2 linked regions of the Lytechinus pictus genome follow. The protein of the gene in region 1 binds, or shares a complex with, the protein of each later gene. Links are inferred from orthologs where the notes say so. Each region holds a gene or a part of one and is shown in the gene's direction. Other genes may lie near its edges.

Region 1 (6,875 bases):
GAAGGCATCTTTAGCAAGAATAAATTAACTAGAATTGTGGCAATTTCAAGAAATCTGTTTGTAAATTTACAGGTAAATTAGGCCTACTTTTCTTGTTAGTAGTGGTATTTTACCCTAAATAACAGAATTCTGACCAGCATAAAAGACAATGTGCATTGACCGCTATCTACTTCAACTTATTGATGATGGTATTTTTTGTTAATAGTGTAGTAATGTTTCATTAGTATAACTGATACTGAAAAGGAAGACCTTCGGGTTATAGTTATTTAATCTTTTTCCTTTCCCGGCATCCATGTGACTCTCCTATTCCTATTGTTTGTATATATGTTGTTTATGTGTTTGATTATGCCGAATAAATAATAATAATAATAATGATACCAATTATCAATGACATCTACAATAACATAACTTACATGTACATCTAAGGTACATCCTTTTCTTAAACTGTACAATCTACGTTCTGAAACCACCATCTTTGTCTCCTGTGGAAAGAGTAGTGGATTAAGACATCCCACCCCAATCCAATCTGCCACATAAACTTCTGTCCTTGCAAAACCCCAGTGATACTAAGCTTACCACAGAACAACTCTGTTTGGTACCGCAAAATTGAAAATAGCTTTAAGAACGGACCTACTGAAGCTTTTCAACATGCACTCATCGGAGTAAAATCGCATGAATGACTATAATGCTAGAGCAAGACAATTTTTCAAAATAAAAAAAATTGGATTCCCTTTGATTTTTGGAGACAGTTCCTGCATATTCTGATTGAATCTGAATCAAGTAACAATACTCGGATTTGGCAGGATTCATTTAAATAATTAATACAAATTTGCAAATTTTCATTACAGTAGTGCCAATCGGAAATTCAGCAACAACACTACTAACTTTTTAGCTCTTGCATGCAGCCTTGGTAAAGTTTTTATTTATTCTTTGAATTATTTTTTTGTTGCCAAAGGCAAAAACTACAGGGGTAATCATTAGCTTGCATTTTCTCAGACTTGTTGCATGATTCTGTCAATGATTCATTCTGCACCATTACCATGATATTGATGATTATTGTGCGACAACAATACACCTGTAGACCTTTTATTTTCTCCTGGGCTGCTGCCTGCTATAGTGCCATCAATTAACAATTACAATTTACATGTATGGAAGGGGGCCCTAAAGCTATGCACCACTCATCGCGCAATGCAGTTTTTAATGGCAAATACGCACTCTGTGTGTTGGACTGTGACTGCAGAGTGATGAACGATTCCTATTCAATTTTTTCTACAGAGGCTGCAGTAAAATGCAGAGAAAACCCACAACTGTTTGGAATTTTTGAGTTATATTTGCTTTAATTTCATATAATCCTATACCAATATGAACATATTTAGAAAATTGAGAGTTTTGAGACACATGAGATACTATTTTTTGCATGATAAATCGAGTGCGTAGCTTTAGGACCCCTTCTAGTAGTTCTACATCAGGTGGCGAAATCAAGTTCAGAAAACATGGCAGGATTTACATAATCTTATACTAGTTATAGTGATTCTTTTTCTTCTTCCTGGTTAATGATCTTTATATTATAAATAGAATTTTTGCCACAATATTAGTGAAAGATAATTTGTTAAAATATCAAAATTTGCATTGTTTTTCTGATATCGTTTGTAAACAAACTGCGTAGCTTTAGGTGCCCCCCCCCCCCCCCATCATACATGATTATAATATATTTATAAAGCTGAATACTTACCGGAGGTTGCTTGGACGGGCCGGGGAATCGCTTGCGAGCTCGATTGACAACGTACTGCACTGCACTGTAGCCGGATAGGATACGGGCGCGTCGTCAAGAATCAGGAAGAAAATAGTTTCATTATCACGACAAAATACTATTCAGGATTAATATTTTGCACATTCATGAAGCCATGACGGATAGCAGTAGAGTATAGTGAACGATACAAGCAACATTTGCAATACTACATTCCAGATATTGGCTACGAATTTATTGTACCAGATTCAAATGAAATACCGGTACGTCGGTATGAGGCGCCGAATGTACCAATATTATATAGAACAATTATTTGTTATATAATCATTATTTATTAAATAATAACTATTATTTATATATAATTTACATTTTATTTGTAAATAACTACTATTATATAAAATATCATTTCTAATTATTTATATATAATTCCAAGTAATACTTCATTATTTGTAAATAATAATAGTTCGACATTCCATTATTTATAAATAATGATTATTTGTTTTTCATTATTTATAAATAATGATTATTTGTTTTTCATTATTTATAAATAATGATTATTTGTTTTTCATTATTTATAAATAATGATTATTTGTTTTTCATTATTTACAAATAATGATTATTTGTTTTTCATTATTTATAAATAATGATTATTTGTTTTTCATTATTTATAAATAATGATTATTTGTTTTTCATTATTTACAAATAATGATTATTTGTTTTTCATTATTTATAAATAATGATTATTTGTTTTTCATTATTTATAAATAATGATAATTGGTTTTTCATTATTTATAAATAATGATTATTTGTTTTTCATTATTTATAAATAATGATTATTTGTTTTTCATTATTTATAAATAATTTGTTGAGTTTTCCATTATTTATAAATAATGATTATTTGTTAAATAATGAAAACGTCTACTTCATTATTTATAAATAATTTTTTCGAGTGCACCATTATTCTCATTATTTATAAATAATCATTATTTAATGTTCGAGTTTTCCATTATTTATAAATAAAGATTATTTGTTAAATAATGAAATATCTACTTCATTATTTATAAATAATAATTTTGTTTCAATATCCATTATTTATAAATAATCATTATTTATATACAAATAACCATTATTTAATAAATAATGGCATTATTTAATAAATAATGGCATTATTTAATAAATAATGATTATTTGTATATAATGGCAAACTGTAAAAATTGTTTATAAATAATGATTAATGGGATATTGAAACAAAATTATTATTTATAAATAATGAAGTAGATATTTCATTATTTAACAAATAATCTTTATTTATAAATAATGGAAAACTCGAACATTAAATAATGATTATTTATAAATAATGAGAATAATGGTGCACTCGAAAAAATTATTTATAAATAATGAAGTAGACGTTTTCATTATTTAACAAATAATCATTATTTATAAATAATGGAAAACTCAACAAATTATTTATAAATAATGAAAAACAAATAATCATTATTTATAAATAATGAAAAACAAATAATCATTATTTGTAAATAATGAAAAACAAATAATCATTATTTATAAATAATGAAAAACCAATTATCATTATTTATAAATAATGAAAAACAAATAATCATTATTTATAAATAATGAAAAACAAATAATCATTATTTGTAAATAATGAAAAACAAATAATCATTATTTATAAATAATGAAAAACAAATAATCATTATTTATAAATAATGAAAAAACAAATAATCATTATTTGTAAATAATGAAAAACAAATAATCATTATTTATAAATAATGAAAAACAAATAATCATTATTTATAAATAATGAAAAACAAATAATCATTATTTATAAATAATGGAATGTCGAACTATTATTATTTACAAATAATGAAGTATTACTTGGAATTATATATAAATAATTAGAAATGATATTTTATATAATAGTAGTTATTTACAAATAAAATGTAAATTATATATAAATAATAGTTATTATTTAATAAATAATGATTATATAACAAATAATTGTTCTATATAATATTGGTACATTCGGCGCCTCATACGTCGGTGCAAAATAATGGTGGATTCTGTTTTTGTTTGTTTTCGTGTCACGCCTGGTTAGTCTTCTTCAAGAGTTGATACAAATAAAATAGAGGTTGATCTTGTTATTTTCATTACAACAACAACAAAAATCGACAAATCTGTTCAAAATACTTCAATATATATTTTTGATATTGAATAAAAACATATGAAATATCATTTTATATAATACTGTCGTCGAAAGGAATTAAAATGATCATATGAAGACGTCGAAATAGACTAGGCACACGGGGAATTTCCCCCAAATTTATTATCATCAGAATGTGGTTATTACGAGGAGGAACATTAGTTTTAGCACACTCGAGAAGGGCATCATATTCAGGAAGTTGTATTCCTCGTGCGGTCTCTGGAGCCTTGAGAGATTTACTAAATCCGCTGCAAGAAATAAAAAGCTTCAAGATGGCTGCAGCAGGAGAACAAAGATGGAACTCGGATAGTGCAGCTCTTCGCGAAGAAATCTCAAAGGCAAAACACATCGTATTTATGACAGGTGCTGGAGCCAGTGCCGAGAGTGGAGTACCAACGTTCCGAGGAGCGGGAGGGTTCTGGCGGAAGTGGCAAGCGCAGGTATGTGCATAGACGGCAATGTTCTGTCAGTATGACTAAGTTATAGTCAATATTCTTAACGGGTATGTTAACAAGTCGATTGAAGTTTATTTTGCTACCTTCAAAGTTCAAGAAATATTTATAAAAATTAGAATCATTGCATGACATTGGATATACCATGTGAGTAAAAAAAAACTTGACACCTCACACTAAGAAAAAAATATGTCATGAAAATGCATAATCATTATACATGGCTGGAAAAAGGAAAGAGTATCAACTCCCAATTAATTTAATATCTTATTTATGTGGTATGTCACTATGTGTTAATGCCTGGATGATCAGGAGTTATTCTTTGCTGTGATGTAAATTTTGACTTTTGCCAAAGTAAGGCATGACTGCAATGAATGAATCCAGATGCCAATGATGTCATATCCGACATGAGTTACAGTTAGTAAACATATTCGCAAATCGCTTTTCAATCAAATTATCAAAAAGGTGTTTTGAAATGGATGTTAGTGCAACCAGTGTATGATTATCTGGCTGCATTCATTGCAGTCATGCCTTACTTTGGCGTAAATCAAACTTAACACCACTGCAGGAATACCTCCTGATCATACAAGCTTTTACACATCACTGACATACGGCCAACCACATATGTATGGTATCAAATTATTTGGGAGAACATACTCTTTCAGGCCATATATAATAATTGTGTGTTCATGACATGATTTTTTTCAGGATTTGTGAAATGTCAATTTATTTTACTCAAACTGTATTATGAGATCAGGATTGATGACTTTTCATAGGTTAGTGAAAGACTTTTGAGGACTTACAAAAGTATTTGTAAATCTGCAATCAAAGAATTCCAGTAAGAATTCCAGTCTTTTACCACTCTGGTGACACTGATGTTTTCATGAACATTTTTTATAAGGGCGATGAGTGGTATCCTAATTTTGAATAGATGCAAATGTATGATTTGCTTTTTATTCTAGCAACTTGCCACTCCAGAAGCATTTCAGGATAACCCTTCTCTGGTTTGGGAGTTCTACCATTACAGACGGGAAGTGATGATTACCAAACATCCAAACAAGGGCCACATTGTGAGTAAGGACAGTGGTGAGAGGTATCAGTACGATTGATTTAATCAGGAAGTCGTGGTGTTTATTGGAATTTGTGATAAGAAAGAAGTGGGAGTAACTTAGGTGGTGGAAAAGACATACACTGAAAAATGATGATGATGATGATGATGATGAGGACGATGATGATGATGGTGATAGTGACGATAATTGTGATAGTTATATTGTTGATGTTGATGATGATGATGATGTGATAGTGAAGATGATTGTGATAGTTATAATGATGGTGATGATGATGGTGATGACAGTGATGGTAGTGATGTTAATGATGATATTGTTGGTGATGATTATGATGATGATGATGATGGTTATGATGATGATGATAGCGATGATCAATGATAATGATGGTGATAGTTATGAGGATGGTAATATTGATGATGATGATTGATGATGGTGGTGATAGTGATGACGATGGTGATGATGGTGGTGGTGATATGATGATAATGAAGATAACATTGATCATGATGATAGTGGTGTTGGTAGTTTGGGTGTACTGGTGGCAGGGCAGTTGTGGTTATGCATTATGATTGTGATGTTATATTATAATTTATACCATGATGATAATGATTGTGCTGCTAATGGTGATGGTGATGCACATATGCAATGATTGAAATAATGATGTTGATGGTGATGATGAATTGATGATTAAAAGGAGAGGGAGATGATTGATAATTAGATTGCTAAAATACAGGTTGATGATAGAGATTATATGTAAGAAATGGACAGGGGTGTTGATGTGATTATGATATGATGTATTATCTGCAACTGTTTTCAATGACTTGCAATCTTGAAACTGGTTAAATATGTGCACCTACATCAATCACACCCTCTGCTTCATTTGACATTGGTTGTAATTGCCACAGGTAAAAAGTAAAACAATATTGCTCAATAATCATATTTTGTTGTCAATTAAAAATGTTGAAATAAATTGGTGAGCATTCAGTAAATGACATCTGCTGAAATTAATTTTTTCCTTCAATTTTCCCCCAGGCTATTGCAGATTTTGAGAAACGGCTTAGTAAGCAGGGTCGTAGAGTAGTAGTCATCACCCAAAATATAGATGAACTTCATCGACAAGCTGGTTCAACCAATGTTATAGAGATGCATGGTAAGATTTTTTTATCTGTTAAATTATTCTTATGTTCTTCTGATCACTCCTTTTCTTCTGGTTTTATTTTGTAGTTTAAAAAAAATTAATTTCCTTCTGATTTTTTTTTTCTATATTATTTTTTCATAATTTATTTTAATATGCTATGAGTTTTTATTGAACTGACGGTTGTGAACTAATATATTCCTTTTATATATTTTCATTCCTAAAAAAGAAGAGTAAATGTATGAACGAATTCCTTACATGG
Region 2 (7,604 bases), on another chromosome or scaffold:
ATTGGGGAAAGCAAAGGATGCTAATTTAAATCATAAATATTCACATGGTGATTTTGTATATGAATCATTAGATGATATTGTTAACGGTTTTAATGATTATTTTGTTAATGTTGGGCAGGAACAAGCATTAAAAATACCACATACCACAACTAATTTTGCAGATTATTTACGCAATTCATGTCAACATACATTGTTTTTAATCCAACAAATTCTGAGGAAATATTGAAAATCGTAAACAATCTTAAAAACAGTCGTTCTTTTGGACATGACGAGATTAGTAATTTTCTCCTTAAAAAGATTATATTAAGCATTATAACTCCTTTTGTTCATATATGTAATATTTCAATGTCAACCGGAATTTGTCCACTTCATATGAAAATTGCGAAAATCATTCCGTTTTATAAAAAGGACGATCGGACACTCATTGAGAATTATCGCCCTATCTCTATTCTTTCGTCATTTTCAAAAATACTTGAACGTCTTGTTTACAATAGATTAGTTTCATTTTTGTCATTACATAATTTATTAAATCCATCCCAATATGGTTTTCGCAAATTTCATTCTGCTGATCTAGCTCTTGTTGATCTTTATGATAAAATTTCTTCTCTTTTAGCAAAAAAGGAACATGTAATTTGTGTTTTCATGGACTTAAGTAAAGCGTTCGATACCCTGGATCATACTATATTGCTTTACAAATTAAAATATTTTGGTGTTAGAAGTACTACTCTTAATTGGTTTAATAGTTATATTTCAAATAGGCAACAATTTACATGTATAAATTCAGTAAGTTCTAATTCACAGTATATTAATTGTGGTGTGCCTCAAGGCTCAATTCTGGGCCCGCTTTTATTTCTTCTGTATATAAATGACATAGTATATTCTTCACCCTTATTACAATATATTCTGTATGCTGATGACACAACAGTTATTTCTTCAAACTCGAATAAAAGAATGCTTTTTGAAATGTTGAATAATGAATTGCCCAAAATATCCACATGGTTCCAAAGTAATAAATTGTCTTTAAATTTGCAAAAAAACATATTATATTGATTTCAAGAACTCCAAAACAATAGCTAATCATTATACAGAAGAAATAAAGATAAGTGGGATTTCTATCGGACAAAAAAATAATGTGAGATTTTTAGGTGTCATTCTAGATGAGTTTTTAACATGTGATGACCATGTATCTAAAATATTGACGTCTGTATCAAGATGTATAGGTATAATGTTTAAAGTTAAACACTATTTACCTCCTCAAGCATTACTCTCAATTTATAATTCTATTTTACTTCCACATATCACTTATTGCAATATTGTATGGGGCTCATTCAAATAAAAAAATCACCATATCCTTTTACTTCAAAAGAAAGCTATTCGTTTGTGTGCCGACGCTGGTTTTTATGAAAATACTGGTCCCCTCTTTAACCGTTTCAAGACTTTAAAATTGATGATATACATAAATTTCAAATTGCTTTGTTTATGTTTAAGTTTCACTGTCGCCAATTACCATTAACATTTGATCATATGTTCCTTTTGAATTCGTTTATTCATAAATATCCTACGAGAACCTCAACAAATTTACATTTATAAAATCCGCTAACTGCCTTAGCCCATAGGTCAATAAGACATACTGGTCCAGATACCTGGAATGATATAGCTTTAACAATACGTGGTGCTCCTACATTGAACAAATTTAAGTTTGAGTTTAAGCATTCCATTATTAGCACTTATTTGAGTTAAGATATTGTTCTATCATCAGTTTCATGACTTTCATCTTATTGCATACTTTATTTTTTGTATTATTTTATACGACGTATCTATGTTAAACATAGTAATATTAATCGATACACGGCTGGTGTGTTATTATCATTTGATTTATTCTTGACATGCTTGATGTGTTTTCCTTTTGGCCCTGCTTTTACTGTAATTTTTAAATATGACTTATATTGATTTTATTCAGGGCCGTAGTCTTTCTTGAGGGGCGTCCTTTTCAAGCCTTGTGCTTATGACTGTTCCCTCCCATGCAATGATTGTTTATTGTTATTTTACCATGAGATATTGTCAATATATTTTCTGTTGTATGATTTATTTTTGCATGGAAATAAAGAATCAATCAATCAATCAATCAATATTCTTTTGAGAAACTAAATTGTCATGATACTACCCTCACTATCATGTGAACATAAAATTGGGTATAAAAGAAATCTACCTGTCTTCAATTTTTTCTATATATTCTTTTAAAAATTATCATTGTGGACCTAACCCCTTTTGCAAGTAAACTGAAATGAATCCAATCTATTTTGATTAAAAAGGTGATTTTTCTTTGCCACTTTTATTCATGTTTTCATGTAAATTTCAAATTGTCTTTGTTTTCATCAAAGCGACTAAAAATTTAGAGGTTTGAGACAGAAAACAATAGCATTTATGAACAATGGACCTACCCCCTTTTGACAAATGAGCTCTTCAGAAGAGTTTGTTTGCAAAAGGGGCTAGGTCCACTCCAAGAAAATATTTTTTTTTAATTCTCCTATATTGCATATTCTTATGCGAAACTAAATTTTAAAGATTCCCTACCATGACAACATAAAATTGGGTATAAAAGAAATCTACCTTTATTCATATTTTTTAATATATTCTTTTCCAAAAAAAAAATCGGTGTTGACCTAACCCCTTTTGCAACTAAACTAAAATGGACCTAACCCCTTTTGAAAAAAAAGTGATTTTTCTTTGCCATTTTTGATCACTTTCAAATAGGAATTTCAACTTTTCTTTGGTATCATCTTATAGAGCTACTAAAAATCTATACATTGAGACCAAAAAATCAGATTTGATGAAAAATTGACCTAACCCCTTTTGCAAGTGAGCTCTTCATAATTTATACATTTTCCGTGATGTGATAATTTCACACCACTTGAAAGATGTTTTTGGACATCATATTTTGTCTCCAACTATTAGGCCTACTCGATGGCACGCATATTGATATTAATTGTAAATCATTACATATGCCATTAAAAAAAAATCGTTCTTGATCTGTCGATGGTAGTATTATGTTCATGGTCCCATACCCCCGTATACATGCCTACATAGCCCTTGGTGTTGGGGTGTCCCAAAATTTTTGAATTTTCAGATCAATATATTGCTTCACCCCCCCCCCATGCACAGCTCGGACTGGATTTACGCCAGTCATTCTTTTTATTTTTCAGTATGTCTTGAGGTTTGTCAAATATAAATCAGTCTATCATCCACTTTCAAAGAACAAACAGTCAGTCAATCAATCAATCTATCAATCAATAACGAACACTCAATCAACCTGTCTATCAATCTATCACTAAACCAAAAGCCCTAAATCATAATTATGTTTGGTTTTACGGCTTCAGTATACAGCACCGTTCGCGTCCGAAACAAATCCGAGTATACCGTCCGGGGAGTCCGGGGGATTGACCCTACATGAAGCCCATCAAGTTATCCTGCCCTGCTTGCTACCAAGTCACTGTGATCATCATGAATTACTTTGAAACAACTTTCATTTTCTTTGAAAATGACCGGTAGAGAAAAGGAGAAGTCAGACAAGCAGGTAAGAGAAAGTTGTGAACACTCGGGCTAAACGATCAAGGGGACATTATAGCCAGGGGTAGGTCTATAAACCCTGGAAAGGTGGTCTCCCATGCAGATGACTGACATTTAATAAATATTGTGTCAAGCCATTAAAAAAAAACAAATGAGCAAAGCAACCGTGCTCACCAAAAGGGATTTTTTGCATTTTTATTGCTGAAATTTTAAATATTTGGTGAAATATTTTTTAATTTATTAAGCGCTTCCCTATTTTTTAAATGTACTTCTTGAGTTATTAATTAATTAATCAATTATTTATTTATTTATTCATTTATTTATTTATTTATTTATTTATTCATTTATTTATGTATTTATTTATTCATTCATTTTATTTAACTATTTTTTTTCCGATATTTATTCATTCAATTTTATTTCTTCGTCTCATTCTTCTTCTCTTCTCCTGCTCTTTTTCCTTTTCCTTTTTCTTCTTCTTCTTCTTCTTCTCTATGTGTTTCTGCTACTAATTCTTCTTCTTTTTCATTATCTTCATCTTCTATAATTATGCTTCGTCTTTATCAAGCAGTCAATCAACCGAATTGAAAATAATTTTTAAGGGATTCGTTAAAACGTATTTGAGGTTTCTAATCTTTCGCTATTGTTATTTGTGGCTTCACAAATAAAATACATCAGTCTATTTATATTAATTAATTTTCATTCATTTCATACTATAGTCGTATGTTTATTATAAGAAAAATCTGCTTTCCAAATGCGCTCTATGTACTTCTACAAAAAACATCAACAATGAATCAATCAATCAATCGAACCCATTGAATAAACTTTCGTATATTTATTTTTTGAAATAATTGTTTAATAGAAATAACTTAAATTCTGTTCAAGGTTTCTTTCTTGATATTCATTTGTCATTATTGTATTTTGTCAATCAATCAACTTTTATTGAACAATGAATGAGAGAAGTCTAGCGCCATCTACTGGTATACTGCAATTTTGTGGACGTGCTCGCTCTGGCATAATAATGTGCATGCATTGCTGGGCCAAGCGCTCGGCATCCCGCTCCAGCGCCCGCGTAGCTTTCCATATCACCCAACGCGCCGTTCGCCCAGGCCAGCTAGCTGCCCGCCGCGTATATATTTAGCACGAGTATTCACTTCGACTTCATTCGAGCACTGCGGCAGAGCCGAAGAGAGTAGAAACAGTCTTAAATTTCTTCTTTTGAAACCGTGAGTATTCTACTTTCTTATGTTTAAACGGTTGGTAAAATTCAATCTTCTAGAAGAAAAAAATGAGGAATGGATGGTGACTTGGGCTTTTGATTAAAAAACGCGAAATTTGTGAGAGGGTGAACGAAAAGTTGACTGTCATTTCAATTTTTGCTTGCATAAGATGTGTGTTGCACGTGGGTGAATGCCGGGTTGTCGTGTTTCAAGTGCAATCGGGCATTATTTTTCTTTGTTGGTTCCAATTCATGTTCTTTTGTGTGATGCATAGGAGATTTCATGGGGTTCCTATGCATTTTAATCATTGTGAATGTGATTTTTTTCCAGGGGTAGTATTCTGAGATCATATTATCTTCTAAAAAATATTTTATATTTTAAAAAGAAATTGATTGATGATTCAGTGAATTGGTAATTTTAGTGACATTTTTCTCAAATTTGAATTTTATGATTTTTTTCCTTGCATATCTGATATGCGACCTTTTTAATTAGAGCAGTGTCTGTGTAGGAATTGTGTATCTTACCATTACAATGCGGATGATATGCTTTGGCCCAGGCCCATGTTGTTACATTGAAACTGAAACTTGAAAGAAAGATAAAGTAACCCGTGGAGGTTATTATCTCCGCGATGCTCTTGGTGAATTAGCTCCAAATGTTAAAATGAAATGATAATGAAGAAAAATAACATTATCATTGAGTCTGAGAATAATACCTTAACATTATTCCTGAAGAATAAGTAAATATTTCTTCATGTGACTTTTCTGAAATGATGCTGTAATGACGTGATATTGACAAAGAAAAAAACACTGAATATTGTAATTTCTAAAAATTTGTAAAAAAGAAATCTCTAAAAATGTGCAAGCGTATAGTGCAAGTGCATTTTTAATTCAATAAATACAATACATTGATGCAATTTTGCTCCTTTGCCACACCTAGCGGAATGGATTTTTATTGGTTGAATGAGCTGAGAGAGCTACATGTATGATGTATAAAACAGTATTTTTCAATCTCATTGGATGTTGCTTCAAAAATAGACCGTGTGTCTTACAGACGTAAAATAAAGATGAAATGGTTGTCAGACCAATTCAGAGATATTCTAAGGGTACATGTATTTTATCTCAGTGATTTTAAAGGAGATGAAATATTTTATTTTATCTGAGATAAAATTGATCTCTGAATACCACCACAGACCAGTACCCCAGACTCTCACTTAACTCGCTAGACCGTTAAGACAAGCAGACAAAGGCAATTGGCATCTGTGACGCGTGGTCCAAACCTGTGGTCTGTGGAAAGAAAACTCTTTTTTTGTTGTTTTTTTTACAAGTAGTTTTTTATTTTGCTTATTATTTTTTTTTTTTGGAGAGTTGGGGGGGGGGGGGGGATCACATGTACTGTTTGTGCTTGTCCATTGCCATTGCTGTTGAGTAATGCATTTTCAGATCTTGCCCCTTCCCAAATGCCAAATACATAGCCATAGGCCCGATACCATAGCCATCAGTGTTTCCACTCTTCCCGAAATTTTGGGAAATTTTTACTTTTTCCAGGAAAGGTTTGGAAAATGAAAAAATTCCAGGAAATTCTGGGAAATCTGAAAATTACAATTAAACAACAATTAAATGTAGCAACTTTTAAAATTCATGTTATATTTAAAGAATTGTTTACCTCAATACTTAGCTCAAAAGTTTTCGTGCGGAGCATCCATTGTAATTTTGGTCCTATTTTTAAAGAGGGCGTGAACAAAAATGTGCTATATTCCTTGATTTGGGTCACATGGACCAACTTTAGGCTGGCTGTATTATTGCCCAATTTTTTTTAGAAATCATACTTAAAAATTCCAGGAAATGTCTATGAATTTTGGGAAATTTATTTTGGATCTGTGGAAACACTGGCCATCATGTACAAATTGTCCATTATTCTTACTGAATTTCACCTTAAAAAAAAAAAACTTGGTGTACTTTGTCGCAGCTTTATAAATGATAGACTTAGATTTTCAAAGTGGGCAAGGTGGCAGGGTAGTTTTCCCTGCTTTAGTTTTTGTCCACAGCATCTCACGACATCGCCAAAAATCTGCCACAATCATATCAAGCAATATTCAAGAATATTTAGAAAGTCAATATTCTACAATTTACATACATGTATGGGAGGATGATAATATTGGCAGATTATTATTTCTTGTTGCAAATAAATAAATAGCCCTTCAAATGAAAAAATTCCCCCCCCCAAAAAAAAAAAAATTAGCAATATCCCCAAAATGACAAAAATAGCCCCTTAAACGAAATTTTACCCCGATGTCTTGACTTTGTTGTGTTTCATTGGCTTTACACAGTGACTATCTCAATCTTTTTTTTCAATCTCATTCACAGGAAAGAAGCTGTAATATAAATCAAAGATGGCAGGTAAGGCACGTGTACAAGAACCAGCTCCTTACTTTGAGGGTACAGCAGTCAGCGCAGGCCCGGATAGTGACTTTGTCCAAATCAAATTATCAGATTACAAAGGTAATTAACAACTAATTCCAGTTCTTGAGTCAGAGCCTTTTTTTGCGCAATATCAATTCATGTTTTGAAGTTACTGCAATGTTATTTGGGTATTCGATTTGCCAAAGTTAATCGAGTTGTGCCCTTTTCATTTTGCACAAAAAAGCAGGGCAGCTCTGATGGTGAATTAAATGACATCAAATTGTCAGATTATTACAGAGGTAACTACAACCAATTCTAGTTGTTACCTTACCTAAAATTAAAAAAAGACAGCCCTCAAAACTCTGCCATCTCCCCAATGTGGGAAAACCAGAACCAAGATGGAGCCATAGGGCAAGGCAAG

What was found. Proteins that work in one complex are often made in the same cells at the same time.
Region 2: the proteins of NAD-dependent protein deacylase sirtuin-5A, mitochondrial-like (region 1) and peroxiredoxin-1-like are in contact, whole or in part, in a crystal structure (PDB 8Z54), measured with the Homo sapiens proteins. The link is inferred for Lytechinus pictus from reciprocal best matches to the Homo sapiens genes SIRT5 and PRDX1. Residues at the interface, in NP_001363727.1 of Homo sapiens: Ala86, Tyr102, Arg105, Gln140, Ile142, His158, Val220, Val221, Trp222, Phe223, Gly224, Glu225, Asn226, Leu227, Leu232, Val253, Val254, Tyr255, Pro256; in NP_001189360.1 of Homo sapiens: Phe195, Ser196, Lys197, Gln198.

Annotation. Positions count from the first base shown.
Region 1 is NC_087256.1:12,834,741-12,841,615, reverse strand, and holds the start of NAD-dependent protein deacylase sirtuin-5A, mitochondrial-like, read left to right. Parts: upstream 1-3,860; 5' UTR 3,861-4,099; coding exon 4,100-4,405; intron 4,406-5,376; coding exon 5,377-5,484; intron 5,485-6,510; coding exon 6,511-6,628; intron 6,629-6,875. UniProt on the Homo sapiens protein: NAD-dependent lysine demalonylase, desuccinylase and deglutarylase that specifically removes malonyl, succinyl and glutaryl groups on target proteins.
Region 2 is NC_087255.1:28,701,248-28,708,851, reverse strand, and holds the start of peroxiredoxin-1-like, read left to right. Parts: upstream 1-4,579; 5' UTR 4,580-4,790; intron 4,791-7,147; 5' UTR 7,148-7,173; coding exon 7,174-7,282; intron 7,283-7,604. UniProt on the Homo sapiens protein: Thiol-specific peroxidase that catalyzes the reduction of hydrogen peroxide and organic hydroperoxides to water and alcohols, respectively.